2 linked regions of the Notamacropus eugenii genome follow. The protein of the gene in region 1 interacts with the protein of each later gene in a pairwise test. Links are inferred from orthologs where the notes say so. Each region holds a gene or a part of one and is shown on either strand. Other genes may lie near its edges. The genes, in order: TACC3 and KIZ.

Region 1 (14,961 bases):
TATTACTCCTATATCTAGCCAAAAGAAGTTGAAATTAGATCACAATGGCTTGTGCAAAACTTACTTTTCATATCTTGATGCAGGAGGGTGAGAATTCTTTAAATCATCTGTACAATCATCCAGAGTAAAAGAGTTCTCAATTTTACCTGTCATGCTCGGGCTCAAAATTCTATTTGTCTGTGGATCCCGCAAAGGAGTTTGAAATGTTACCTGTTTATATAGAAAGGAAAGGGAGAGAGAAAGAGTTTACTCTTAAATAATTCAAGGCCTTCTACAATAATGTTAGCACCATTCCTGTTTCTCTCATTAGAAAAAAGTAGGCCCCCAAAAAAGAGGATGGAAGATAATGTTTTTAAACACAAAAACAGCACACACTTACTTTCATAGGTTTTGCTATATTTTTTGGTGGCACATTTTCTTTCTGAGATGTACGAAAAATTGATGATCTTCCTGTCAGCTCCGGGGGTGAAAACAGGAAGTCACAAGTTTCTGCAGTTATATCACCACAAACATTTTCGTCATTTAAGATCTGCAGACTCATTCTGGAAAAGCAAACCATTCATATAACAATGCAAGGAATAGTCACAGAAACAGCTGGTCTTTCAGATAATCTCAACAGGAATAGAAAGAGCCAGTTTAACCATACAAATCTGACTGCTAACATGATTCAGAGCATGATATTCTGCGTAGGCATGGGAGATACAGTTTCTCAGTTCAGTAATTAATGCCTTTGGCCTTTATTGACAAGAAAGGTAGAACTGTAAAATTTACTCAAATCTGCCTTCACATCACTCAGACTCGATGAACTAACCATGGGCTTTTATTTAAATGACAAAGTTACCTACCCAACTGCACTACCTATCTTGCCTTCAGACTTCAAATATAACCTCTACCAAGAGGACAAAGCTTCTTAGAAGGACTCAGCAAAACTGCTTTGGAATGTAAGAGTCATACTCCGTTTTCTAGTTCTCAGTAATCAAGTGACCCAATTTTCAAAGAGAAGAGGAGAAGTTCTACAACTATATATTAGACCTCCATCACTCCACTACTTAAACTCCCCTGGCTGGTTCTCTATTGAATCCATTATAAAATACAAACACCAGTTTGGCTTTGAAAGCTCTTTACCACCTGGCCCCAATCTACCTTCACAGGCACATTATAAATTATTCCCCTTTCCAAATTCTACATTCCAGCGCAGTTAACTTTCCTCACCCACTGCACTCCATCTCCTATATGTCAATATCTCAAGACACTCCTCCTTCCTCACAAAATACTTCACTTTCTTCAAGATGCAACTCAAACACCCCCTTCTACTTGAAGCTTTTCCTGATCCCTGTACTTTCCTACTTCTATTCTCTTTATATTTAATCTGACCATATGTATACATTTCTTGCCATCACTGTTAGAAAGTAAGGTCTTTCCCAGTAGGATTATTTCATTTGCTTCCTAAGCACGTGGGGTTCAGTGGTCAACAAGTATTTGTTAAGTGGCCATCAGTCGGGGAATGGCTGAAAAGTCATAATGTATGATTGCGAGAGAATATGATTGTGCTATAAGAAATGAAGAGCTGGATCATTTCAGAAAAACCTGAAAAGACTTGCACGTACTGATGCACAGCGAAGTGAGCAGAACCAAGAGAACACAATAACAGCAATATTGTACAATGATCAACTCTGAATGGCTTAGCCATTCTCAGAAACACAAAAATCTAAGACACCTCGGGAGGACTTACGATGAAAAAGGCTATCAATGTCCAGAGAAAGAGCATATGGAGTCTGAATGAAAATCAAAGCATACTTTTTATATTTAAATTTTATTTTTCTTGGGGAGGGAAGGGGGTTAGCCTACATTTTCCTTCATGACATAACTAATACGAAAATGTCTATGATGACGCTCAGCTAACTCACAGAACAACATTATTATGAACAAGTATGAAGCACTCATAATAAATAACTTCATCCTTAAGCCTAGATCATACAAACTAAGATAAAATCTAGGAGTTAGTAAAATTTGCAGAGGGTAAAATTAAAGAACCTGAAGTCACTGATATAGGAAAGTGATTGTAGAACACTGAAAACAAATAAAATAATTTTTAAAAAAGTATATATGTAGCCTCAGTAAGAACTGCAGGTGTAACTAATCATGAGTACTCCTAAGTAGAAGCATAAAATAAAGTTAAAAAATACTGTGGCAGAAGGAAATTGAGAGTTATTAAAAAGGCACTGGAACATTATATCACTGTCTAGTAGTAACAGACCACAGACCAAGGCTTCTTAAACTTTTTCCACCCATGACCTCTTTTCATGTTTCAGCAGCGTGGGAAGGCATGCACAGTGCACGTTGTGTGTTCAAAACAATACAAACACCTCAGATTCATTATGAAGTTGATTTTTAATTAAAATTTGGTCGTTGCCAAAATCTTTTACTGTTGCCAAAATCTTTTACTGTTGCCAAATTTTTCAAGACTCCATATGCTATCTTGACCCAGTTTAAGAAGCACTACTATAGACAACCTAGATACCATATTGCACAAAGGAAAAAAACAAGTTGTAGGAGGGAATCTGAAAAACAAAATGAAAAATTGAAAGCAAAAGTTAAAAGGTAGCACAAAGAACAAAACAAACATTAATCAAAAATTTTACTAGAGACTTGAAAGACAAAAAAACATTAAGAGAGTACACCTTAAGAGTACTGTACACAGAAAATTTCTGGCTCTCTACATGGTTGCAAGAATTCCAACACAATGAAATAGCAAGTTGGGGCAAATTAGAAGTCAGTTCTGTGTTTAATCACCTCATGCCAAGCATTCATAGTCTGAATCATTGATTTACACAGAAAGTTTAAACACTCAACAAGAAAACAACATACTGGATGAGGAGCAAAAAAATGGTCCTCATTAAAGCAGTTAAGCCAAAGGGCATTTACACCGATTACCTCTGTGGCAGTCGTTCAGTTCCACACATGCTAAAGATACGTAAAACAGATCCCAATGTAGGGACATTGCTAGGGTATTTGATATCTATGTGGAAAATGGTTCTCACTTACAACACACCATCAACCATGCAACACCAGCAACTGATAAGTGTGGCATTGTTCAGGAAGACAGTTTAAGTCCATTACAATCCTGCCTAGTCTTAAATCCATTATCTTCTCTCCTATTTAAGTAAAGCTTCAAATTTAAAAGGGCATCAAACCAAAATATCTTCATACACAGTAAACAGCTCCCGTCAGCTTGTGCCACTTTTCTCTAATCAAAACATCACCTATCTGATAAGTGTAAAATTTTTAATGTACAACAAGGAAAGGTACAAACTAAAGCCTCTGAGCTTGAACACGGAAATGAAATTGAACCAATGAATTAAGGCAATACTTACAATACTTTGATCTCCCTTCAAGCAAGACACATCTAGCATAAGTTGTTTGTCTTTCATTCTCAAAGGGGACCATGACATCAGGAAGGTGATGCCATGACTTGCAAGTGAATTAGATTTAAATGAGGGAGGGCTGTGCAAAATCATCAGCCTCACTTTCTCGTCCAGAACCATCCGGGGGGTCCAATGGCAAGATGCAAATAAGGACAAATGGAGACAGCCCCACTGCAGTGGGAAACCATGGCCATTTTAAGCTCAGATCGTTCCCGGGCATCAGTTTGACTAAGGCAGCACACATTCAGTGATTCAGGCTAAGTAAGAAATAAGGCAAAGAATGACCTCTTTAACCTAGTCAAAAAAAAAAAAAAAAGATATACATACATACATACACACACACACACACACACACACACACACACACACACACGTTGATAGATAGATAGATATCTTGGAGGGGAAGACCCTCAGGGTTTCTAGCCAAAACACAAACAACTGGCTTTCATTCTGAGCAATCAGGGCCCAAATAATGAGGCACTGGGTGTGAGCTGCTGCCCATAGAGGTATCCAGACTTAGTAATCAAAGAAGATAATTCAATCAATCAACCAATATTTATTAAGTATCTACTATGTGCCGGGTACTATGTTAAGCACTATACAAAAAGAGGCAAAAGATAGCCCCTGCCCTCAAGGAGCTTACAGTCTAATGGAAAAGACAACATGCATGCAAACAAACACATACAAAACAAGCTATAGAAAGGATGAATAGGAGATATTAACAATGGGAAGGCATTAGAAGTAAGAGGAGTTGGGGAAAGCTTTCATTAAAAAAGTGGGATTTTAGTTAGGACTTAAGAGGAAGGTGGGGAGGGCAGCAGGTGGAGCAGAGAAGGAAGAATGTTCCAAGAATGGGGCACTGAGATGGAGCGTCAGTAAGGTAGAAAAAGCCTGTGGGGCATGAATGGTTGACTTTGAATGTCATAAACAACATTCTGTATTTGCTCCTAGAGGCAAAAGAGAACCACTGGGGTTAAATGAGTAGGGGGATGACAAGATAATACATAATGAAGCATCCCGTAGGTTACAAAGATTGGATCTCCTACCAAATGCTTAGCAAGACAAGACCTGGTAGTTGAATTATACATCAGAATCAGATACATTACACTGACCCATAAAAAACTTGAAAAGGTGTCACCATGACAAAAATCAATCAAGTATTTTAAGTATGTAATCTGTGCTAGGCACTGTGATAGGTGTTAGGGATACAAAAAACCCCCAAAATGAAATGGCTCCTGTCCTCAAAAATCTTACATTCTAGCAGAGGAGGGGACAGGTACAGGTTAGGTATATAAGGCAGATAATACATTAACCTTGGAAGACAAGGCAGGATTAGTAGCTGGAGGCTGAGGAATTGGGTGGGGGAGGCCCAAGAATGGAGGGGAGCAGGGCACAGAGATCAGGAAACTTCCTACAGAAGGTAACTTTTGATCGGAGTCTTGGAGAAAATCAGGGGCTCCCAATAAGCCAAGGTCAAAAGAATGTCATTTCAGTAGTAGGAGAAAGATCTTACTTGGAAAAGGTCCACCTGAAAGTTTGGTTAAGAGAAGGCAAACAAGCTAAACACAAACAGTTTATTCACTTTTAAGCTAGCTTATTACATGATCACGGAGCCAGAAAAACTTTTGACTGACTAATACAAGAATGACCAGGCTTAAATCGGTTTAGGACAATCCAAAGTTGTCTGTGTCCTTCTGATTTATGGTCTGGATGAGTGATTAACTATAACACAAGAAAGGAATTTCTTAATTGGATAGGTTGTAAATACAATAAGAGAAGAGACTTGAGAAGGTGTTGAGTGAAGTTACAACTCAGAACATCTGTGTTTTCTCTGTCATTAACATGTTGTAACATAGTACATGTCCACAAGATAATAAAAAAAAGTCCCACTATTCAAGATAGTATCTCAGGTTCAGGGTCTCAAAGTATGCTAAGTCAGCCCCATCTGCCCTTGTTGACATAGGAAGAGGTATTCTCTGCGTTTACTTCAGAGAACAAAGAGACTGTTAGGTCCAGGCTCTTCTTCAAGCTCTGGCCCTTATTAAAGTCCAAAAATGATATTAAATATTATCAATACTTACAGACAAACACAACCTCTCAAAGCCTCAGTTTCCTCCTCTGTAAAATGAGGATAATATCCTTGCCCTACTTAGCTAACAAGATTGTTGTGAGAAAAATATCCTGCAAACTTTAAAGCACTGGAGATTATAAAGAAAGGAAGCAATTTGTTCATGGTCACACAAATTAAGTGGCAGAGCCAGGATGTGAATTATTTGAATTTTTAAAAATCAATCATTTTATCCAAAACTTACTGATTCGACCTTTAAAACATCTTTTGCATCAATCTTTCTCTCTAGTTGAAGCTTTTATTACACTCACCTGGACCAACCTCCTAATTGGTCTTCCTGCTTCCAGGTTCTTCTCTCTCCAATTCATGCTCTATGCAGATGCAAAAATCATCTTACTAAGACAGATCTAATCATGTCCCTTTCCTGCTCAAAATTTCTAATGACTTCCTACTGCCTCTAGTATGAAACACATGCTACTTCATTTAAAGCCCCCTATAATCTGACTCCAACTTAACTTTCCAGTCTTTTTTTCCCCATGTTATTTCCCTTTTGAATTTCCAACCAAATTGAACCAGTAACTATCCACAAAACTCAACAAACCAATTGCCCATGCCTAGAATGCACTCCCTTCAACTCTGCCTCTCAGAATTTTGACCTTCCTTCAATAATCAGCTCAAGTGCTACCTGCTCTGGGAAGCCTTCCCTGCTAGCCCAAGGTGCTAGTGGCTCTTTGGCTTCACAAATTACCTTATCTTTACTCATCTCAGGTGCCTATCGATCTTCCACCTAGGAGAAGGTAACAATAACTAACCATGTATAATAATAGTAACATTTACACAGCATCTACTATATGCCAAGCACTGTGCTAAGCTCTCTACAAATATCTTATTGGATCCCCACACCCTGGATGTGGATGCTACTATTATTCCCATTTTACAGATGAGAAACTGAGGCGGGAAAAAAGGTAAATGATTTGCCCACAGTCACACAAGCTAGGAAGTATCAGAGGATGGATCTGAAACCAAATATTTCTAATTCCCAAAGCACCTTAACATACATCATGCCTGTGAGGAAGATCGCCCCTGGGGCAACCAGCACTATGCCCTCAAAGATGTGAGTTCATGCTCATGAAAGCAAATCTTCTGTTAAGTGTACACCCAAATATCCTGAGCCCCCCAACTCAGTGTGAAGCTTGGGTTCCTAAAGTCATCTTGGATATAGATATTGTTATTACCAGGTTAACAGAAATCTAGGCAAAATAGAGCACAGAACCAGTAAAAGCTGGTTCTGACTGAAGAAAAAAAAAATTTTTTTTCCTGCTACTTCTGGCACAGAGTACTGCATTTCCCCAGCATTTCCAGTACGGCCCCCATGCCTAGAATGCTCTTTCTCTGCATCTTCACCCTCCTGCCCTCCCTAGCTTCCCTTTAAACCTTGGTTAAGGACCCACCCACCTTCTGCAAGAAGACTTTCCCAACACTTCTTAATTCTCGTGTCTTTCCTCTGAGACTGCTCCCAACTTATCCTGATTACATCGTGTTTGTATGACTTCTTTCCATTATACTGTGAGTTCCTGGAGAACACAGGACAGTTTTTTTGTTTGTTTATTTTTCTAAGCATCCCCAGAGCTTAGCCCAGTGTCTGGCACATAGTAAACTGGTGGTTAATAAATGTCAGTTGACAGAAAAGGAAACAAACATCAGGAATCACTCTCCAAATGAGTGTATTCCCACTCTCCTTCCCTAATCACTCCCAGAAAAGAGCCTTCCAAAACAGTCCTAGTAAAGGAGATCAAAATCAGGTGAAAATAGGATGAAATTCCCATCATCCTGTTGTGCTGAAGTCTTTCTCCTGGAGTTCACACAAAATAACTTGACAACCTAACACTTTTATTCAAATACAAAAGGCAGTAATTGTATCCACCTGTGAACAGTTCAGAGGGCATTAGAACAGTAAGAGAAGGAGAGCCAGAAAAACAAACAAACAAAAAAAGCCCTGGCCTGTTCATATTTTAACTCCGCAGAATTTTTTTCTAGAATTTTTTTTAGAATATCTTTTCTACAATATTTTTTCTAGAATAAGAACAATAACTAATAACTGGCGTTTATATAGAGCTCTAAGAATTGCCGAGTCCTTTACTGAGCCTCACAAAAACCTAGGGAGAAGTAGGTACAATTACTATCCCTTTTATGGACTGGGGGTAGGGGGTGCGGGGAATCAGGGTTTACTAAGCACCTACTGGGTTCCAGGCACAGAGACAAGCGCTTTACAATTGCCATTTGTGGTCCTTCCTATTTTATACATAAGACAACCAGGGCGAGCGGAGGGGGAGTGACTTGCCCAAGGTCACCCCGCCAGTAAGTGTCTGAGACCCGGTGCATTCAGCCTCAAAACAGGGAAACCTCGGCTCCGAGAGGTTAAGACACGTGCCCGGGGCTCCCAGCTCCTTAGTGCTAGAAACAGGACTTGAACTCGGGTCTCGCCGACACCAGGGTTGGCCCGGATGGATCCTGGGGCCTTTCCTCCTCTCCCCACCCCCACCGCTCCCCGCAGCTCGCAGAGACCCGGACTCGCCCGCCCTCCAGAGAGGCCTCGCCGCCTCAGACAGCCTTCCACTCGCACGGAGAAGGGCAGGGCCAGGGAGGCACGACGTTCCTACCTGCCAGGCTATGGCCCGCAGGTCGCGAGCGCGGACGAGGAAGGAGAAGGGCTCCCGAGAGAGGGACGGAGAAGCGCCGGGGCGCAGAGAAGCAGCAAGTCTGAGAGCCCCAAGCAACGGCGGCGACTATGCTTAGACAGCTCCTCCCCCGAGCCGCCGAGATTCAAATAGGAACGGTCGAGCTCTTTCAGCCAATCAGAGTGCAGATCAGGAAGCTCATGCGCAGAGGAGGACACGCGCAGACTCCGTTGCTTCCACGGGTGCGTAGCCGCTGAGCCCCGCCTCCTTCCCTGCGCTCCTTTGTCCGCGGGTACCTTCCAGTCGTTCGGAGGAAGTGGTAGTGCTGGGAGCCAATTGGCGCTTACGAAAGTTCCGTTTCCGGTCGCGCGGTAAAGGCTGGGAAATGAAGTCGAGAAGTGGCCCTGCTATGTAGGGAAGCTATAAAGATTCTATGCCATTAAAAAGATGCTGAAAATATGCGGCAAATGTGTATAAGCTACATCGTTTAAACGTACGAGTAATAATATTCGTTATAATGATAACTAGAGAAGTAGGCCTCCTGATGGGTGCCGCAGCTTTCAAACTTTTTGGTCTTTACCAGCTTCAAAACTGTTGAGGACCCCAAAGGATTTCTTTTAGTGGGACACAGCCTTCGCTACGTATTTAATTTTTGTATGTTTGCATATTTAATATAGATTTTTTACGTTTGAAATTAAAACTAACAAACTTAAAATCTTTATTAATTCAATTAAAACAACAGTAAACATTCGAAGTAACATAAACATTTTTATGAAAAATAACTTTTCAAAAAAGATTGAAGAGTGGCGTAATTTTACCTATTTTGCAACACTCTTTCATGTCTGACTTTAGTGGCAATCTGTGCTAACAGGAGGGAGCACTAATGTATTCACAGATACATTCCCCCCAAAACGAAAACTCACATTTCACTTTCCCCAGCTGGGAGTCTTGGCACTTCCCTGACACTTTCAAAGACACTTCCCAAAATTCTCCTTTACCAGGAGGATCAGAAAGGGAAAGTGATTTATCTAAGGTCACAAAGCAACTGAGCAGCCAAATTGTGATTGGTCACGAATGTCCTGACTTCTGGTCCTGGACTCTGTGATCTGCTATGCTGCCTTTTTCTTTCTTCTCAAATACAAACAGATAAAGCCAGATTCCCTGGCTTTATAAAGCCCATAAATTACACTCAAAGAGAACACTTTGCTCACTGTCCTTTAAAACCATGGCTGCATAACAAGTAATTGTAACTCAGAATGTGAAGGGGACTAATTTACCCATAAAACTGAAAGGACAACAATTAAAAATCTGAATTCAGCAATAAGTTGCTTTCAGGAAACTTTATAAAAGTGAGAGATAGACACAAAGATAAAATAAAAGGCAAGAGTAGAATTTAATGTGTAAAAAAAGCAGGAATAGTAATCATCTCAAAGTTAAAGTTAAAATAGATTTAATCAAAAGTGAAAAATACTCTGTGTCAGCAATATTATTCAATAGTTTTAGAGTGACCATTTAAAATACCTAGATTATATAAAATACCTGAGTGTATTCCTGCCAAAATAGACACCACAACTATATGAACATAAATATAAAATGCTTTTTATAGAAATAAATGCAGATCTAAATAATTGAAGTAATATTTATTGTTCATGGGTAAGTAAAGCCAATATAATTTTTAGAATGACAGTTTTACCTAACTAATCTCCGTATTCAGTGCCATCCCAACTAAATTACTAAAAAAAAATTATTGAGTTAAAAAAATATAACAAAGTTCATTTGGAAGAACAAAAGGTCAGAAACTTTAAGGAAACCTGGGGGAAAAAGATGTAAAGGAAGTAGATTTGGTAGTATCAAACCTTAAAGTGTAAGGTGAGAGCATTGTTGAAGTGTCAAAAAGATAATTTCAATTATTTTAAGTTGAAATTTTCTTCTATAAATAAAACCTATGTAGCCAAGAATGCAGAAAATCAGGAAAAAACTTTCATAGACAATCCCTCGGATAGGATGTAAACAGGTTGGAATATTGCTGTGATGTAGGAAATGATGAGCTGATTGATTTAGAAAAACATAGAGACTTAGACTTAGGAAGGAAGATGCTATACACCTTCAGAAAAACAGATGATGGAAGAAAATAAGCATAGTATGGTCTTACATATATATGTATTTTATATGGAAATTTGTCTTATATTGAATCCTCTCTTATGCTCAGCTATGTACATGGCAATAGTTTTTTTCTTTTCTAATTTTGTAATTTTAAGTTAAAAATAAAAAAATATTTAAAATTAAGTTTAGAATTTAAAAATTAATTTTTTAAATTTTAAATTAAAACAATAAAACAGCCATATAAAGAAAAGCAATTATATTAAAATACAGTAATCAAAATTTAAAAAAAAAAGACAAGTTCACAGACCCCCCGAATAAGGATCCTAATGATTTCCAATACTGTATCATTTTTGCTTTCCCGCAGAAGTAGCTTTTCACAGAGGAAGACGATAAAACTATATATGTCCATCAGACAAGTCACCACAAGAGGGCGATTCAGATAATGTATTTGGTCAGCATAGTGAAGAAATAATTCATAGAACTTTATAGCTGGAAGGGACCGCAGAAGGCTTTTTGTTCAGTCATTTCAGTCCTATCTGACTTTTTGTGACCCCATTTCGGGTTTTCTTGGCAAAGATACTGGAGTGGTTTCCTTTTCTAGTTCATTTTACAGATAAGGAAACTGAGGTAAAAGCAGGGTTAATTGACTTGCTTGGGTCACATAGTATTTGAGGCAGAATTTGAACTCAAGAAGTCTTCCTGACTCCAGGCCTCGAATTCTATCCACTAAGCCATCTGGGGCCATTTGTTCATATACTTCAGCCAAACTGGACTACAAAATTCAATATCATGCCACAGTTTTTGTTCTGTCTTGCTCATGTAGCAACACTTGGCCTCTCTTTTTTCAGTTTTTGATTCCTTTTGTTCTACACCACCATTATTTCTCAGTTCACTTCCCCACCACCGTTGACTTCTTTTGTCACCAAAGAAAAAAAAAAACAACTCAGCGAAACAAATTGGCACAACAACCAATCATGAAACATTCCATTCTAGTAGTCCCTGAACCTCAGACCAAAATTGGTGATACAGTTTATCAGATTTTGACTAATTTTTAGTGTCATTTTTGTTTACATGACTGTAGTCATCACATATATCATTTTCTTGTTTTTGCTTATTTCACTGTAGACATCAGTTCATACAAGTGTTCCTTTGTGTCTCTGAATTGGTCATATTCAAAAGAGAAATAGGGAGTCTGAATTAGGGTGATGGCTGGGTGAGTCAAGAGAAGGGGTGGCAATGTGAGAGTTATTGTGAAAACAGAACTATGAAGATTTGTTAACTGATTGGATCTGATGGGGTACAAGCCCAACCCAAGACCTTTTTCCCTTGGATCGGAAGAGTTGCTGGGAAGTCTGGCTTTTGGGGGATGGCTCCTTGGATTCCCCTTCCATTTCTCCCAGGCCACATACTCCCTATCTTCTATTTAGCATTTTTGATATGCCTCCCTTTGATCGTATTACCAGACACTCCTCTCTGGGTTTAATCTATCTAGACCACCCCTGGGACCTGAGATTACCTGGTGACACCTGGATTCTTCCCTCAGTCTTTTTCTGTATTTAAGTTCCATCTCGCCTCCATGAAGGCATTCAGATTCAGTCCAGCTCAGACTCTGCCTAGCTGAGATTCTATCTCGACTGCTTGTGAATACAAGTATTATAAATCTTAGGCTCCTAAAGAGTCAACCTAAGGTGGTGAATCTTTAATAAACTTTGGTTTTCTTTGATTTAAAGAAGTCTTGAGTCGAATTCATTTGAGCAGGACCTGGCGTGTCGGTATTTCAGGGTCCCCAGCACTCCTCAAACCTCATCAGATCCTTGGCCCTAAGGACAATAAGGAGTTGAGGAGACTGGGAGGTTGGTGCATGCAATTTCCACTGAAATAAGGAAGTTTGAGAGAGGGGAGGAGTTGGGTTTTTTGGTTGATTTTTTTCCTGGGGATGGTGGAGGGGAATAACGAGTTCTAGTTTGGACATGTTGAGTTGAAGATATCTGCAGGACATTCAGTTTGAAATTTCCTGTGGGGGATTAGTGATATGGGACTACAAGCTCAAGGGAGAGCCTGTGAGTCATTTGCATAGAGATGGCAGTTAATCTCAGTGCCACATCCTTTACATGGCCTTTCCTCATTTTCCCAGTTGTTTGTGTCTCTCCCAATTACTTTGTATTTATTTATCAAGAGCAAGCACTCTCAATTTGGTCTGTTTTCCAATGACTATCATAGATGCTCAATAAATGTTTGCTGGTTGACTTTTTGAATAACTGACTGCCTTTGCCTGCAAGGAATTTATACTATCCTAAGAGGATACAATATAGACACAAGTAAAGTTATTTTTTTTTTTACAAGTTAGTTTGAGGAGAGGAGAGAAGGCAGTAGTAAATAAGAAAATCCAGGTGACCTCTATTGAGGCCTTGAAGGAAGGTAAGGATTTGGAGATGCAAAAATGAGAAAGAGGGAACATTCCAGGCAAAAAGGAATGTGTGTACAAACACATGGGGGTGGAAGATGAAATGTCAAGTTTGTGGCATAGTTAATAGCCCATTTTAGCTGAAATGAAGTTCCTGAATAGGAATAATATGAAATAAAATTGAAAAAGTAGGGCGGGAGCCTGGTTGTAGGAGGCCTTAAATGCTTCTCCTAAAGGTCAGCAGTTCTCAACTTTTGTCTCAGGACTCCTTTATGCTTTTTAAAATTATTGAGAACTCCCCCAAGAGCTATTGTTAGAAGTGAAAGCACCTTGACATTATTATGAATACAATTTTAACCTCATAGAGCCCCCTGAAAGAGTCCCTGAAAACTAGAGATGAGCACTGGGGAGCTACAGAATGTTTTTGAGCAGAAAAGTAGCATCGTCCCACTCGTACCTTAGAAATTTTGGCAGCAGACCCATGTCTGTCTTACTCTGACCTCTCTAATCACCCTGCCCTATTCACATTGTCCTCTATTCCTGTAATGGACTCCCCTGATCTTTATCTCTCCAAATTCCTTTCTTCCTCCAAGGTTTACTTCAGGTATCACTTCCTTCCAAAGGCAGTCTCTCTCTCCTCAAATTCCTCAGAGCAGCATTGTTCCTGGATCCCTCCTCCGCTCTGATCACATTCTGCCTTATGGCAAAGTCAGCTGTGTTTTATTTCCTCAGATAATAAGTCCCTGTCTTGTCTGCCATTTTACCCTCAGTACTCATACAGTACTTTGGTCATATCAGTCAATTAACAAGCATTTAATTATGAAGGTACAAAATAAATTCAAGTTAATGCTTTGGGGGTTGGGGAGAGAAGGCAGGGGTGGGTGAGTGGAGAGACCACAGCACTTTGTCACTTGAGCAGAGTTTTGAAGCAAAGGAAGGATTCTAAGAGTCAGAGGGGAAGGGTAAGAGCATTCAAGACATAAGACACTAGTAGTCCTAACCATATGGCCAATAATGTGTTGAAAGAATGAATGAATAAAAATTCTTTGTAAGTTTGATTATCTAGGGAAAGGGTGGGGAACCTGCCGCCTCAAGGCCACATGTGGCCCTCTAGGTCCTGTGGTTGGCCTTCTGACCGAGTCCAAGTTTTACAAAAGAAATCCTTTTATTAAAGGGATTTGTTTTGTGAAGTTTGGATTCAGTCCAAGGGCTGAACTTGAGAAGCTAGAGGGTCACATATGGCCTTGAGGGGGCGGGTTCCCCACCCCTAAAGGGTTTTAGTTATCTAGGAATAGTGTGGCACTGCGGAAAGAGTCCTGGATGGGTTCTAATTCCTCCTATCTCAGCCTTTCTGCTCTCTGCCTCAATTTCATCTTCTGTAAAACACCAAAGAGTAGAACAGCTGATTTCTTAAGTACATATACTCAGAAAATGTCAGAGCCTGAATGGAGTTTGGAAATCAGCTGGTTCACTCTCTATTGTGTATATGTATTTACATATTTTATTTGCATGTAATTTATAAATAAATATATGTGTGTATACACAAATATATATACAAATATACATAAGAGGTTGGATATGTATGTATGGGTGTATTTATGTGTACACACATATGTGTATATGTACATGTGTGTTATATTTAATGTGCATGTGTATATAAATATAGAACTATAATTATATAATATAGAAATATGCTACATAATATATTGATATAATAATTTTATATATTTTTATGTAGTCTATATGTGAGTGTGTGTGTGTATACCACATAGACATAAGATGACAAACTATAGGAACTGCCCTGTTGGTTGAGCTTTGAATTGGCACAGCTATTCTGGAAAGCAATTTGAAATTATGCAAATAAAATGACTAATATTTTCATACCTTTAGACACAAAGATTCCTCTGTTAGGCAGATACCCTGAGTGGATAGAGCACCAGTGCAGGAGTCAGGAGGACCTGAGTTCAAATTTCACCTCAGACACTTGACACTCACTAGCTGTGTGACCTTGGGTAAGTCACTTAACCTTAATTGCCTCATTCTGGGTCATCTCCAGTCGTCCTGATGAATATCTGGTCTCTGGATTCAGATGGCTCTGGAGGAGAAGTGAGGCTGGTGACCTGCACAGCCCTCCCTCACTCAAAACAAAGTCAAGTGCAAGTCATGTCATCATTTCTCTGATGGCGTGATCTTCTTCCGCAACGAAGGACGAACACACACACCCTGAGGAGGTCATTGACAAAAAGAAAAGATCCACATACACCAAAATGATTACATCGGCAC
Region 2 (15,879 bases), on another chromosome or scaffold:
TAGGAGATAGCTGGAGGTGTGTATCACAATAGAGGGATGTCTGATCTAGTTGCTTTTCATTTGATCTCAACTTACTAAGTATCTAAATCTATGAATATAGTAGTCAGTGAACTGAAATGGTGAAGGCAGTTATAAGAAAGAGGCTCTAAACTAGTTACCAACAGAGGAACTCATATTTAAATATTTTGATTAAATTTTATATACAACTTTCAAAGTTGTTTAGTTCTACAGGACAGCCTTACAATCAGGGGGTAGTCTAGGTATCTGTTCTCTGGTGGTCAATAGGAATACCTTAACCTCTTAGGAAAGGGCCAGCTCAAGCATATACCAGAGAAGATAGTTGACGAAGCTGAGCAGGTGGCACAAGAAGAACCCACTTGATGGGCAACTGAGATATTGTATTCCCTACCTGTATAATTAATAGGTCAGCATGTTGTCTTTCTGTAGGTCTAAAGAAAGGTAGCATTCAAGCCACACAAACAGAGAGCCCCATATGGGAAACAGTATCACATATGTCTTCAGGTTTATTAGAATATTTATGCTACAGAAGAAGAATTATTATCTATGTATGCAGCTACAAGTAAGGCAGGGGCAGCTAGGTGGTGTAGTGGATAGAGTACCAGTGCAGGAGTCAGGAGGACCTGAGTTCAAATCTCACCTTAGACACTTGACACCCACTAGCTGTGTGACCTTGGGCAAGTCACTTAACCCCAACTGCCTCATCCTGGGTCATCTCTAGTCATCCTGATGAATATCTGGTCATTGGATTCATATGGCTCTGGAGGAGAAGTGAAGCTGGTGACCTGCACAGCTCTCCCTCACTCAAAACGAAGTTGAATGCGAGTCACGTCATGATTTCTCTGATGACATGGTCTTCTTTGGCAACGAAGGATGAACACACACACACATACAAGTAAGGCAGATATATGGCTCCTGCATTTGGCCATCCAATCACTAGAGGCTCTCTTTTCTACATTTCACCTTTTCCCCACTTCAATCATGAAATTAACCACAAGATAATTCTGATTCAATCCTGATGGGGACACCAAGTGTTCAGAACCAGGCCTGACTGACAGTTTAAGTTCCAATTTGGAACAAAACGAGTTATTTGTGAACCATCTATCATTATGCAAAGAAAGGAGGAAGAAGTTTTTATTAGATGCCTACTAAGTGCCAAGTTCTAGGTTAAGTCCATTGCAAATATTATCTCATTTGAGTCTCAAAACAGCCCTGTGAGAGAAGTGCTATTATGCTCTTTTTTTTTGCAGATGAGGAAACAGGCTGAGAGAGATTAAGTGATTTGCTCACTCATACAGTTAGTAAGTATTAAAGACTGGATTTGAACTTAGGTCTTCCTGAGCCCAGGCTCAGCATTCTATTCATTGCACTACCTAGTTGTCTAGTTTACTTAAGGATAGAAATGGAAAAGTTATTCAGCTAGGATACAACATTGATTCAGGTGGAGAAACTTCTCTTCACTTCTGCATTTGCCACCCTGCTGTTGATCAGAAGAGTGTGTTTGTTGACTAGTACAGCTAATAAGACATCTGTCACCTGAGAAACATACTCTTTATATACTGGACATTTATACTTGAGAAACCAGGAAACTATGCCAATGGTTTGAGCGACAATGCTGTGGCCTAATTAAGTATGAGGGTGGCTTCACTGTCTTTTTAGGATAAAAATTAGTCTAACTTATATAGAGTAGATGGTGTACTTACCACTTATAATCATAGGTGGGCCTGTGATATCTGGTAATCAACAGTTTAGTGACATTTCTCAAATAATTCCAAACTGTTTCTAAACTGATTGGACCAATTCACACTACCACCAAATGTATTAGTGTGCTTATTATCTGTCTGCAGCCCCTCTCACATGGACTTTGTCTTTTATCACCTTTGCCAATATGATGACTATGGGAAGGAGTTGTTTTAATTTGCATTTTTTATCATTTCAGATTTGAATTGTTTTTAATATGGTTGTTGATCATCAGCATTTCTTCTTTTGAAAATTGTTCATACCTTTTGACTATCCTTTGGGGAATGGCTCTTGATCTTATAATGATCCCATAAACTTCTTGTATGTTATACTTTTATCACAAATATTTGATGCAAAATAAATCCCTGATTGACAGTTTTTCTTCTTAGTCTAATGGTATTGATTTTGCTCATGCAAAAAGCTTTTTAGTTTTAAGTAAATGAAATTGTTTTATTATATCTTTTATGACCACTTCTATCTCTTGCTTGATTAAAATTTTTCCCCCTAACCAGGGATCTAAAAGGTACCTCTTTTCATTTTCCTTTATTTCTATGTGATTTTTTTATATTTAGTTCACGAATTCATTCACACACATTTACTGTATATAGTGTAAACCTATATATCCAAACCTAATATAATATAAGGGCTCTTACAGAAGAATATTTACTTTGGGGTATAATAACAAATATACAAAGTTATTCCTCCATCACAGGGGAAGCATAGCCCTCCACTGTTCTGAACTACCTTACTCTCTGGGGAAGAGAAAAGGGTTAGGTTCATAGCTTAGTTTGGTTCCCAGACATCACAGTCCAAGTTCCAAATCCAAACTCCACCCTGGGGGACTTTACAAACAAATGAGCTTTACAAAGCCCATTTGTAAAAAATGTCTCATTAGAGTGTCTATCTTTTATATAAATACGTGTGCGTGTGTGTGTGCGTGCATGTGTGTGTGTGTGTGTGTAAGTGTCACAGTGGATAGAGCACTGGCTCTGGGGTCAGAAGGACCTGAGTTTAAATCTGGCCTCCTTTGGGGGAAAAGGGGTTTTCAAATCCCAGGGTTTCCATCCTTGGATGGCTTGCTACATCACCCTATCTGCAGTTCTGGCTGCAAGGTTACAATGGCTCAAACTCAGGATCCATGATCTCCAGGATCTAAAACTGAGGACAAACAACACAGAATGGAAACAAGTAAGAGCCAGGGTAAAAGAAGGGGAGGGGAGTGGGAAGGATTTTCCTTTTCCTCTCACTGGTTCAGTTCATGATGTCCAGATTTTGGGCACAGCTGAACACTGAAAGAGCACAGCTGAAAAGATGGAAGAATAGAGCTGAAAAAAGAGTGAACAGCTTGCTCTCACCAGTTTTAAGGACATAGGAGGCCAAAGAAGGCTACCCCCCCCCCCATGTGGTAGAGGATGCAGTGGGCTCCATGTTAGGTAAGATGGGCATGCATAAAGCCACTCAAGAGAGTCTCCATGTTAAAACTAGGTATGCCCAGAGAAGCTTGGATTACAATAATTTTTGACAATCTAACTTCCCAGCATTTCTGAGATAACCAACTTATTTCAGGTAAATTCCAATATAAATTGGAGTCAGCTAGCTAATTGGAACATTTATTAAGCACTTACTTTGTGTGAGACATTGTACTAAGCATTGGGGATACAAGCAAATAAGCAAAACAGTCCCTGACCATGAGCATCTTAACTTCTAATGTGAGAAGACAACATGTAAAGGGGACCTAGGAATGGAGATGGAGGTAATGATGATATAGAGTTGACTGGAAAGTGACTTAGAAACCTGGTTCTGGGCAAGATTACCACTAATTCATCTATCAGAGCCAGGGTTATCTTGGGGCAGAGTCCAATGTGGTGGTGGTGGTGGGGAAGTAAGGGTGATGGTCTTAGTATAGGCAAGTAGTTAGGAAATGAGTGGAAGTGAGTTTATAGGTCTTTCTGAAATTCCACAAAAGTCACTGAAAATAGCTGAAGTTTTAGATATTCAAATCTTTAAAAGAAATAGGAAGCATATTTGGTTTAAGCTGCCCATGAATTAGGGTATTCCTGTGTTATCTACCAATAATGTGATAGGTTACATTCTTCAGTCAATTATGAAACCAACAGGGTAAGAATGAAGAGTCACTATGCCATGTGTTTCTTCATTCTTCATTATGATAAACTGAAATAATTATTTTGGGATACAAGAACAGTGGTGGGGGAGAGGAGAAAGGGAAGGGAAAACTTCAAAGCAGTGTGAAAAATCAGTCAACAAATATTTATTATATGCCTACTACTGACTACAGGGTAGGGCCATGAACTCTAGGTACTCTATTTCAGAAAGGGACTCAATACAATCTTCTCCCCTTTTTCCACAGGCTATGTTGCTTTTGGATTTCTTTTTTCTTCTACTTCTCCTCTCCTTTTTCAGCTTCCTTTTATATGGTGTCCTTCCTAATTAAAATGTAAGCTCTTTGAGGGCAGGAATTATTTTTTAAAAATTTATATTTGTATTTCCAGCAGTGCCTGGCACATAGTAGGTGGTTAATCAATATTTATTGACTAAGTGACTACTATAAGCTGGGCACTGGCAGTAAAAAGATACAAAGAAAAAATCCCCAACCTTAAAGATCTCACTTTTTTTTTTCAGGAAAAACAGTATGTACACACATAAGGAAATACAAAATATATACTAAGTGTAAACACATATAATAAAAGAGAAAAAAACTCCCCATTGGGTTAATAGTTTGGAAACTGTGTTGTGTCCCTTTTCTGCCACTTAGCAGTTCTGAGAAGTTGGGCATGTCATTTTACTATTTACATATAATAACTGCCTTACTTTATGGAATTCTTAAGATAAAATAGTCTATGTAAAAGTTATTTTTAAAAGTACTATTCAAATGCAAGATATTTTTAACTGTGTTCATTTTATTTAAAGAAATCCTATGTGTTCATCATACTTTCATTCATTCATTCATACTTTGTTAAATGTGTCTATTGCATGATACCCTTAAAATTTATTTGAAGAAATACATTTATTTTTGATTTCATAAGTATATAGTTATATGACTAAGGGGATACTAGAATTTCCATTTATTTTACAATTTTTTAAAAGACCTAAGAAAACTGCCATTCTGTGCTAATTCCACCAACATAATAGAAAATTTCAGCTGAACATCAATCACTGAAAGGATAGAGTTGCACAGAAGCTATTTCTATGATATTGAAAGCAGGAAAGCTATCTTGAATCATTTCATGCAAATTTATACAGTGTCTCCCATCTTTGAATCTCAAAGAACTTTATAAGCAAAGTGACACTAGACATATTTTATAGAGAAAATCAAAATATTTAGCAGTTTAATGATTTACAAAGTCTAGGTCCAGTTTGTGACTAGAGGACATTTGTAAGCATTCTCTGGCCAGGTCTATATAAACCAAAACAAAGAAGTTTGATGTAATTATTGTGGTAGTTCAAACGAAACCCTACTTTTACCTAAATTATCAGTTATTGCACTATATATTTTTATACAAAAATCAGGGTCTTTATACTGGTTATTGAGGATAGAATCTTCTAGCTGTTTACAGACTTTTTTTCACAGTCCAGCAAGGAAATTTTATTAAAATAACCATGGGTTAAACTTAATAGCCTTTGTTAACTGGTGGAGATACTTTAAAAAAAAATTGATATTTTTTAATTTCCAAAGACATATACCTCTCCCTTTCTCCACGAGTTCCATTCCTTATAACAAACAAGAAAAGGGGAGAAAAGAGCACTTCCATAAAACTAAACTACACATTTACTGAGTTGATCATCATCTATGCAAAGTTCCACACCCATTTTTCCCCACCTCTCCAATGTCTTCTTTGGGGCTAAATTTGGTCATTTTCTTCATTTCAAGTATTGCTTCTTTGTTGTTCTTTCCATTTACACTGTAGTAGCTATTGCTTGTATTATTTTCCTGGTTTTGTTAACCTGAATTCGCTTTAGTTCCTGTCTTCCTATTCTTCTCTGCATCCTTCTTATTCCTCATTTCTTTCTTTTTTTTTTTTTTGGAGGGGGGAGGCAAGGCAATCTCGGTTAAATGACTTGCCTAAGGTCACATAGCTAGTAAGAGCTAAGAGTCTGAGGCCGGATTTGATGTCAGGAGGACCTGAGTTCAGGTCCCAGGCTCTATTCACTGTGCCACCTAGTTGCCCTTTCCTCATTTCTTATAACACAGTAATGCCCCATTATATTTAAGATGGCAATTCATTTAGTCATTCCTCAAACCATGAGCATCCACTTTGTTTCATTTTTTGATTCATCAAGTAGAAGAGCTTTAAATATTTTTGTTTTATTTGGGAGCTTTCTTTCTGCCTTTGATCTCCTTAGAATATATTCTGATAGCAATGGGATCTCTGAGTCAAAAGGTATAAACATTTTAGTAACTAGTGCTTTCCAAATGATTGAGCCAGTTAATTTAGTGCCACCAAGTGTATTCATATGCCTGTATTTCTATAGCCCTCTAACATTTGTTAACCCCATCTTCTGTCACCTTTGTCTATTTTCTAGATGTAAGGCAAAACCTCAAAGTTGTTTTAATCTGATTTTTCTTATTATAAGAATATCAGGTCACTGGATTCAGATGGCTCTGGAGGAGAAGTAAGGCTGGTAACCTGCACAGCCCTTCCTCACTCAAAACAAAGTCATGTGCAAGTCATGTCATTATTTCTCTGATGGCATTGTCTTCTTTGGCAACGAAGGACATACATGAGTGATTCAACACAATTTTTCATTTGATTCTTATTAGTTTGCAATTCTTTTGAGAACTTTATATCTTCCGACCATTTGTCCACTGGGGAATAGCTCTTGATCTTTGTGTTAATTACTTATATATTTCAGATATAAAAAACTTGAGAAATCTGATGTAAAGTCCCCCTCCCCCCCACCATTGGTAACTTCTCTTCTTATCCTGCGGGCATTGATTGTTACTGAAAAAACACTTTTCAATTTCATTTGATCAAAATGATCTATTTAATTCTTTGTGATAACAACCTCTATCCCTTGTTTGGTTAAGAACTTCTGTAGCCATAGTTAAGAAAGATACATGATCTGGTTCTCTGCCAATCTTTTCACAAAGTGGAGAGATTACTGAGCCTGGAGTTAGGAAGACATCTTCCTGTGTTCAAACCTGGCCTCAGATGCTTACTAGCTGTGTGACCCTGGGCAAGTCCCTTAACTCTATTTGCCTCAGTTTCCTCAAATGGTAAAATGAGCTAGAGAAGGAAATGGCAAACCACTCCAGTATCCTTGCCAAGAAAACTTTCAAATAGGTTCATGAAGAGTCAGACAGAACAGAAACAACAACAAAAGTCTACGGAGGAGACACTTTGACAGAGACATTTACTTCAGTGAATTTAAGGGGCTTAGCAAACCAAAAGAACATCAGGTGTGGTCTGAATTGTAGCTCCAGTATTAATTACCTGTGGGAATCTCTAAGCCTTGTTGCTCACCTGTGAAATGGGAGTAATAGTATCCATACTACCTCCATCCTTCACTGAAGCCTTCATGGTGATGTGGAGGTGATTTTACCCATACCTGTGAAACGCAAAGGTAAGCAGGTAAACTGGGGGTGTGGGGTACAGTCCAGCAGTAGCTTGCATGCTTTTTGCCAGGGCCTTACTTTTTTGATCAAAGCCAACTCTAGATCTTTTACTAAGACATCTAAAGACTATGTCTAATCTGACTGGTACTTAAGGGCAAGGCACTAAGTCTGGATATATAAACTGAAAAGACAAATCCCTGCCTGCAAGGGACTCACATTCTACCGGTAGAAGCATTCTTCTCAGTAAGTTCAACACCCTGAATGGCTGGGCCATCTCCAGTCATCCCGATCTGTACCTGGCCACTGCACCCAGATGGCTCTGGAGGAGAAAGTGAGGCTGGTGACTTGGCACAGCCCTCCCTCATTCCAATCCCATTCAGCTGCCAGCCATGTCATCACCTCCCTGAGGTCGTGGCCTTTTTCCAGAAGGAAGGGCAGACCACAACGCTGAATTATCAGGGTGATTCTGCTACACAGATCTGGCCTTAGGATGGATTTCTGCCAAAAGGCATTTACTGAATACCTCTGTGCCACGCACCGGAGAGAAAGCAAGTGGCAGTCCTCGTTCGGGTTCACAGTCTAGCGGACGCCAACCACGACGTCCAAGCAAGCTACGTACAACCACCAGTGGGAAAACCCTAGGATTCCGAGGGACTAGGAAAGGCGTCTACCCAGAGCTGGGGCTTGAGGGAAACCAGGGAATCCGGAGGCGTGGAGGACGAGGGAGGGCATCCCAGGCCATGAGGGCAGCCACAAAGAATGGCCAGGGCCGGGGGCACGGAGAACAGCCAGCAGGCCGGCAGGCCTTCCTCTGAGCCCCAAGGCAGCACCGGGGGATGCTCCCGCTCCATGTTCACGTGCGTGGACAAGTTGAACACGAGGCGCACAGGACAAAGTCGGCAGGCGGGGGGCGTTTCCGGCACGGCCCGCTCCAGCTCGGGCTTCTGGGAAGGGAGGGGCGGGGCTAGAGCGGAGCACGCAGCAGCGTCCTCCCCGCCCCCCCCCCCCCCCCCCGCCCAGGTCGCGGGAGCTCAGCAGCCCCCTCCCCCCTCACGCCCCGGTCCGCTCTTGCGCAGGAGGGAGGAGCGGGCTGAGCCGCAGAGCATGCCGGGGAGGTCGCTTAGGCTTTCCCGGTAAATACAGAGGGACGCGGCGGGGCGGGGGGCGCGCGCTATGGCGCAGTGCTCAGCGCAGGGCCCCTTTTCAGGCCCCGACTACTACGAAAAGCTGGGCCGCCTCCAGGGTGCGCTAAGAGACAGGTAGGGGCGGACGGGGCCGAGGTCGGGGGCGGGGCCGGGGTGGTCGAGGTCCTCGGGACCGCCCCCTTCCCGGTGGAGGGGAGGGGGCTGGGGGTGGTGTCCAGCGTGGAGCGTCCCTCGTCGGCCGTCCCTGGTCCGGCCCGGGGGGGCGGCTACTGCGCGCGGCTGGCCGGCGGGTGAGCGAGAGCGGCCGCCCTTTCCCTGCCCTTCATCTCTCTCCGCTTTCTCCCCTTTTCTCTTCCCCCCCTTTTCCTCTCTTTCCTGAGCTTTTGGGGGACGGCGGGGGCAGAGACAATCCTGTATTGATCAGCCTTACACTCGCCTCACTTAGATGTCAGGGACCCTGTCGCTCTTTTAATTCTAGGACCACCCCCAAGGTAGAAAGCTTCTTAACCTAGGGTCCATGGACGGATTCCAGGGAGTGGGAGAACGTGGAGGGGAAAAAAAATTCATCATTATTTTCACCAATCTTTGGTTTCCTTTGTAATCTTATGTATTTACTTCCATGCACTTAAAAACATTTTTTTTCCGAGAAGAGGAATATACATTTCGTCAGAATGCCCCGTTCATAATACAAAAAAAGATTAAGAACCCTTGTCTTAGAGCCGAAAAGTTGCTGCAGTCCTGGGAGAGTTTGCTGTCTTGTGTCAACTTCAGTTCCACAGGAGACAGGTCTTTCTATTTTGCCTACTTTAAAACTTCCATCTTCAGAAGTCCATTTGGGTTGGGATAAGGATGGTATCTTTAGTATACAGGTGTGTATGTTTGCATGTGACTGGGGGAATGGGTGAGGTCCAGAAAAGATTTCCAGTGAAGGATCACATAAATTCAGAAAAATTAAAGCTTTTCCAGAATGCCTTTTTGTCAGAGTTGGAAACGAGGAACTTTTTGGAAACAATCTGGTTTTAATAGGATGAAAATTTGTTACTGAAAGTTAAAAAAAACAAAAAACACTGCACATCCCAAAACAATTTCTGTAGCTTACTTTTGCTGCAAAAGTAATTGAAAGTGTGAGTAATAGCAGTTGGCCACCCAGTGGGAAGGTCAACTTTCAAATGCCTGAACAGAAAAATCAATGAAGTATTGAAAAAAGATACTGGACTGTGATTCTGGATACTAGGGGAATAGTATATGCAATGAAAAGCTTAAAAATAGCTCCATATAAGGAAAGTTAGATAGGAAGGATTGACAAAATTTTAACAAAATTACTTTTTCCTGAAAAAAGTACATTTGAAAGTTCAAACCATTAGCTTTTGAACGTGTCCTATACTGTCATGCCCAATAGCAACCTGTATAATTCAGTCAGTAGCCAGTTACTTGCGAAAAATCATTGCCAAACTTTTGCTTTACCTCTACACAATTTTTATCCACCTAATGTAGTTTTCCTGTCATCCACAGAAATTGATTAACCTGATTTAACCATGACTGTATTCAGTTGTTTTATGCAACTAATAAAGGCATAACACAGTACTCTTCTTCAGTACCTGGAAAACTCTTTTCACTTTCCTGTTATAGTAGTATAATAATTATTTGCATAAGGGTGGTTTGTTTATATTTATCAGTCAAGCATTTATTAAGCACGTGTTGTGATCCATGAACACTGGATCACAACCGTTAGGCATTGGCAACAAAAAGGACAAGAACTGGACAAGTGTCTGTCCCTAAGCTTGTCAGCCAGTTAACTTTATGATCCTGAATCCAGAATTGACAAATTTTATAGCATATTTTATACCCTAGATAAAGTAGTATTTTTGGACTAAAGTTTATTGTTATCTCATTTTCCATATCAGGGATATTTCCTATCCTTAGAGTGTAGCAGTTATATTGTAAATATTACTTGTGTTATGTTTTATATTAACTTGAATTGTCTTCTCTCAAGCAAATTGAACTTAGTGAAAAAAGGAATCTAATTAGTCCTTTATTGGTCTTATACTTTTAAAAAGGAAATCAATCCTTTATTTTAATAAATAATTCAGAATTACCTTTTGTAAATGTTAATAAAGAGCCTTATTCTGAAAGTCTGGATGTCTGACTTTTTAATCTCTTATTAGTTCTATAATCTTGGTTTAGTCACTTGTTTAAATGAGGAAATTCAACTACTTAACTTTAGGCCCTTTTCAACTCTAAAATTCTGTCTCATTGGGTCTATGATCTTTACTGCTATACTTGACTGCCACTGGTACATGACAAGTCAGTATTGATTTTCATGGTAGTGATGTCAGTGATTAGATAACAGATACTAAAAAGGGTGTGAGAGCACTAATCTTACTAATACTAATTTGTATTTAATTTGCTCTGTGATAATTTTGACTTTTAATTGATAGTTGAATCTGAAAAAATTAAATTCGGCAATCACGTTAAGCATCTGTTACATTCAAGACACAATACTAAGCACTAGAGATACAGAGACAAAAACAAAATAGTCCCTGTCCTCAAGGAATCTGCATTCTATTGGGGATATAGTGTTGACATCGGTAAGTTATATAAGATAACTTGAGGTGGGTAATAACAGTAGCTCACATTGAGGCTTTAGGCATTACAGAATGCTTTATAAGCATCTCGTTTTAACCTTAACCTTTTTAACCTTGCTAGATGAGGAAACTGAGGCTTTGGAATTAAGTGACTTGTCCAAGATCATATAGCTAGTGTAAGAGGTGGTATCTTTCGACTCTAGTTCCAATGCTCTTAGTAACTACCACCCTGCCTTTCAGGTGGCTTTTGGAAAATCTTCAAGAAGGCTATAGCATCTGAGTTGAGTCTCAAAGAAAGATATGGATTCTGAGAGGTAGAAATGAGTGTGTGTATTCTGAAATGGAGTGAGTGGTTTGTGCAAATTGGTGGGATGGTACAGTTGCATGTCCAGCAATTTGGAGAACATGTAATTTACTTAAAATGTACAATATATGATGAGCATAATAATATGTAAGTAGGCTTACTACTAGCAAATTACATATCATAAAAAACATACATCATCTACTGTTGTTTTATAGTGTCCCTATTCACATGTCTCAATATTCCAAAAAATAATACAAACATCTGGTCTTATCTCATGAATTTCAAAGTATTAATTGTAGAGTTCAGGGTCAAATAGAATATAATTCAGCAAAGACAAATACTTTAAAAAACATCTTTTGCAAGAGAAAGTTAGCTGTGTAGATCAACTAATGGAGACTGGCCAGTTATTTATATAAACACAAGATCTAGAGGTCATAGAATATGAAGTAGCAACACAGTGTACTTTTTGGAGTAGACTAGAGCATGTAATCCTTCCTCAAAAGTTATAGTTTGTTATACCCATGTTGTATCACCAGTGTGATGTAATGAAAAGTTCACTGGACTTGAAGTCAGAAAGTCTGAATTTGACTTTGACTCTACCTCTTATGAGTTCTGTGACCTTGTATAAAGATCAGTTGCCTCATCTTTAAAATGGGATAATAATCACATACTGACCCTGTATGAGAACTGCAAAGATAATAACGATAATAACAGATGGCATTTATGTAGTGCTTTAATGTTTGCTAAGTGCTTTATAGATAGTTCATTTTATCCTCACAACAACAGGGATAAGGGCTAATTTTGTCTCCATTTTATATATGAGGAAACTGAAGCAGATGAGGTTCAGTGAACCCCCAGGGTGACACAGTGAATGTCTAAGGCTAGATTTGAACTAAGGTTCTTCTAACTCAAGGTCCAGTGCTATATCCACTTGTCTACCTAGCTGTCTTTATCTTATGAAGTTAGATGTGGTTCTGTATAAAATTTGCCATGCAAGATGATAATTGAAACTGGAAGCTATGAGATTACTAAGTTAAGTAGTATGGAGGGAGAAGAGGGCTCAGGACAGGGCCTTTAGGGACCCCTGTGGTTAGTGGTCATGATTTGGATGAAGATCCAGCAAAGGACACAGAGAAGAAATGATCAGATAGGTAGAAGGAAAACCAGGGGAGAGCAATAGCATGAAAACCTAGAAAGAAGACAGTATCAAGAAAAAGGGTGATCAGTGTCAAAGGTCACAGGTCAAGAAGGATGAGGATTGAGAAGAGACCATTAAATCTGATGAGATCATTGGGAAGATGGCAGAAAAGCAGGAAGAAGTATAGGGGGTGTACAAAGAATACAGAAGTACAGAGAGTGCTCCCTACTCTTCTCCCACCCTCAAAAAAACAAAAAACAAAACCCAACCCTGCTTCAAATAGATCTAGAAAACACTCTAGTCAGATTCTTGATGGGGAAATTCAAGAAAAAGTCACAGTCAATCATTTTTCCAGCTCATGGGCAGCATAGGGAGACAGAAAAGTCTGGACAGGGAGCACACTATAACCACTCCAACATAAGAGAGGTGGTGCACCAGGATGAGAAGGTTCCTATTCCCAGAGAATAGAAACAGATGCCAGTTGGCAGCTTTATTTCCCACTATGCAGTTCTTGTTGTTTGTCCTTTATTCTTGAAGAAGACCATGACATCAGGGTGATGCCATGACTTGCAAGTGAATTGGATTTAAGTGAGGGAGGGCTGTGCAGTCACCAACCTCACTCTCTCCTCTGGAGCCATTTGGGTCTAGCGGCAAGAGACAAATTAGGGCAAATATAGATGCCCCCTACACAAGGGTACCTGCTATATTGTAGGACCAGTGGTTTTCTAATACATTTTCCTTGACCCTGACACAACTGCCTTTCTTGTACATAACCTGATTAGCCCCAGTATCCCTGATGCACCTTCCTGGGGCCATAAAAGGTTCCAACCTCATGGACTTGCTACTGTGCAGAGTTGGTGGGTGCCCAAGACCATTTGAATCAATATTTGGTTAGAAGAACCCTAATGACTGACTGACCAGAAGAGTTTGCAGGTAGAGATGAAGGGAACTGAGTCAAGAGAATCTAAATTCCACCTTGTTGCTGTGGTTAGGGCAAAGTAAACTTCCTCCTTTGTTAAATTTTCAGTGACTTGTGAGTGCCTCATTTTGTCCCAACATCGAACTAAGAGGGTGCCAGTTTTAGAGCTGTGCCTATGTTTGGTAAAGTCTTGGCAGACTGGGACAAAAGATGGCCTTGTGGCTTACGTTGTTGTTAAGTTGGGGTGAGAACCCTGCTGTTACAGAGGAAGAAGATGGTATGAACAGATGGAAGGGTACTGATTACCTATGGCTAAAGCCCTTTTAAAAATTTTCTACAACTATACATAGATATTTATGTGTATGATGCTATAACATATTCATTGCATAATATGTGTTTGCATATATATTCATGTTTTACAAAGTAGCTTTTTCTATTTACCGATCAGAGAAAGGTAGAATAAACAGATTATTCTCATTTTACAGGTGAAGATGAGCCTTCACACAAACTTGTTAAGACAAATCAAAAAAATTAAGTAGCTAGTACATACTAAGCACTTAATAAACACTTGTTGATGACTTGATTTAGCAAATCTAGGTGATTTGATAAAGCTCAAACAGCTAAAAGGTGGCAAATCTGAATAATTTTCTGAAGTTTTCTGAATGTAATTAAATGTTCTTTCTAATATATTACATCCATTTTAAAATTTTCTTTTTAAAAAATTTATGTATGTGTATTTTTAGTTTTCAGTATTCACTTTTATAAGAATTTGAGTTCTAAATTTTCCCTCCTCCTTTCCCTCTCCCCTCCTCAAGATGGTATGCAGTCTAATATAGGCTATACATGTGCCATCATATTAAATATATTTCCACATTAGTCATGTTGTAAAAGAAGAATCAGGACAAAAGGGGAAAACCATTAGAAAGAAAAAACAACAGCAAAAGAGAAAATAGTATGCTTTGATCAGCGTTTAGACTCCATGATTCTTTCTCCGGATATGGATAGCATTTTCCATCATGAGTCTTTAGGAATTGACTTAGATCATTGCCTTGTTGAGAAGAGCTATGTCTGTCAAGGTCAGTCATCCCACAGTGTTGCTGTTACTGTGTACAGTGTTCTGGTTCTGTTCAGTTCACTCAACCTTGGTTCATGCAAGTCTTTCCAGGTTTTTCTGAAATTTGCCTGCTCATCATTTCTTATGGAACAGTAATATTTCTTTGCCACCACAAAGAGAACTGATTTCTTGTTTTGTTCAGGTAGGTCCCTTTACCATTTTTATGATCTCTTTGGGATATACACCTAATAGTATTAGGTGTTGCTGGATCAAGGGGTGTGCAGTTTTATAGCCCTTTGGCCATAGTTCCATATTGTTCTCCAGAATGGTTGGATCAGTTCACGACTCTACCAACAAAACATTAGTGTTCCAATTTTCCCAACGTTTATCGTTTTCCTTTTTTGTCATATTAGCCAATCTGATAGGCGTGAAGTGGTGCCTCAGAGTTGTTTTAATTGGCATTTCTCTAATCAAAGTGAGAGATTTTTTCATATGACTGGATAGCTTTAATCTCTTCATCTGAAAACTGCCTGTTCATATCCTTTGACCATTTATCCATTGGGGAATGACTTGTACTCTTATAAACTTGACTAAGTTCTCTGTATATTTTAGAGGTGAGGCCTTTATCAGAGACACTGGCTGTAAAAGTTATTTCCCGGCTTTCTACTTCCCTTCTAATCTTGGCAACATTTGGCGTTGTTTGTGCAAAGCCTTTTTAATTTAATATAATCAAAATTATCCATTTTGCATTTCTTGTGCTGGGGGTCAGGGGCCTGGTCACTGGCTTTTGGTGTTAGGGCCTCAAGTACTGGCAACTAGAGACTGTAGGGATCTGGCAGCTTACTTGGTGCTGAGCTGGGGTCCTAGTGGTGTTGTCTAGTATGTGCTGAGGCCAGGTGGGGTTTTTCTTCATTTCACTGGGGCCACACTGAAGCACTGGAAGATGTGACCAATGAAGGATGCCTGTCCACTCCTGGGCTGTGCTGAAACATAGGGAGGTCTGCTGCTAGGGGACACCTGCCCTGCCTGGACTGCACCAGTTTAGGAGTTCTCTCAGCTGGAGTTTGCTGATTCCCGAGGCTATGCTAAGGTAGTTGGAGTTCCTGGTGTTGGTGCTTGCTGAGGTGGGGCTTGTTGCTGGCTTGCCGAGACACCTCCTTATCTTGGTCCATGCTCCTTTTTTACCTGAGTGAAATGGACTTTTCTTGACAATTCTCCAAGTTTCCTAGGCTAAAAGACTCCCTCACTCTGTTTTTCTGCTATTCCAGGATTTTCCTTGGGTTGCTATTTTCTGGGTTTTTCAGAAGTCAGTGAGGGAGAGTGAGTGATTTACTGATTATTCTGCCATCTTGGCTTCCAGAAGTCCATCTGTCTAAAGCTCTTCTGATTATATGTAGGACT

What was found.
Region 2: the proteins of TACC3 (region 1) and KIZ interact in binary tests that used the Homo sapiens proteins (3 or more experiments, as listed by UniProt). The two-hybrid records come from large-scale screens. The link is inferred for Notamacropus eugenii from reciprocal best matches to the Homo sapiens genes TACC3 and KIZ.

The regions. Positions count from the first base shown.
Region 1 is NC_092877.1:50,056,875-50,071,835, reverse strand, and holds the start of TACC3 (transforming acidic coiled-coil-containing protein 3), read right to left. Parts: upstream 8,401-14,961; 5' UTR 8,154-8,400; intron 5,865-8,153; exon of another isoform or gene 5,805-5,864; intron 543-5,804; 5' UTR 542-542; coding exon 380-541; intron 211-379; coding exon 65-210; intron 1-64. UniProt on the Homo sapiens protein: Plays a role in the microtubule-dependent coupling of the nucleus and the centrosome. Involved in the processes that regulate centrosome-mediated interkinetic nuclear migration (INM) of neural progenitors.
Region 2 is NC_092872.1:596,697,379-596,713,257, forward strand, and holds the start of KIZ (centrosomal protein kizuna), read left to right. Parts: upstream 1-8,375; 5' UTR 8,376-8,437; coding exon of another isoform or gene 8,438-8,466; 5' UTR 8,467-8,506; coding exon 8,507-8,592; intron 8,593-8,651; exon of another isoform or gene 8,652-8,768; intron 8,769-15,879. UniProt on the Homo sapiens protein: Centrosomal protein required for establishing a robust mitotic centrosome architecture that can endure the forces that converge on the centrosomes during spindle formation. Required for stabilizing the expanded pericentriolar material around the centriole.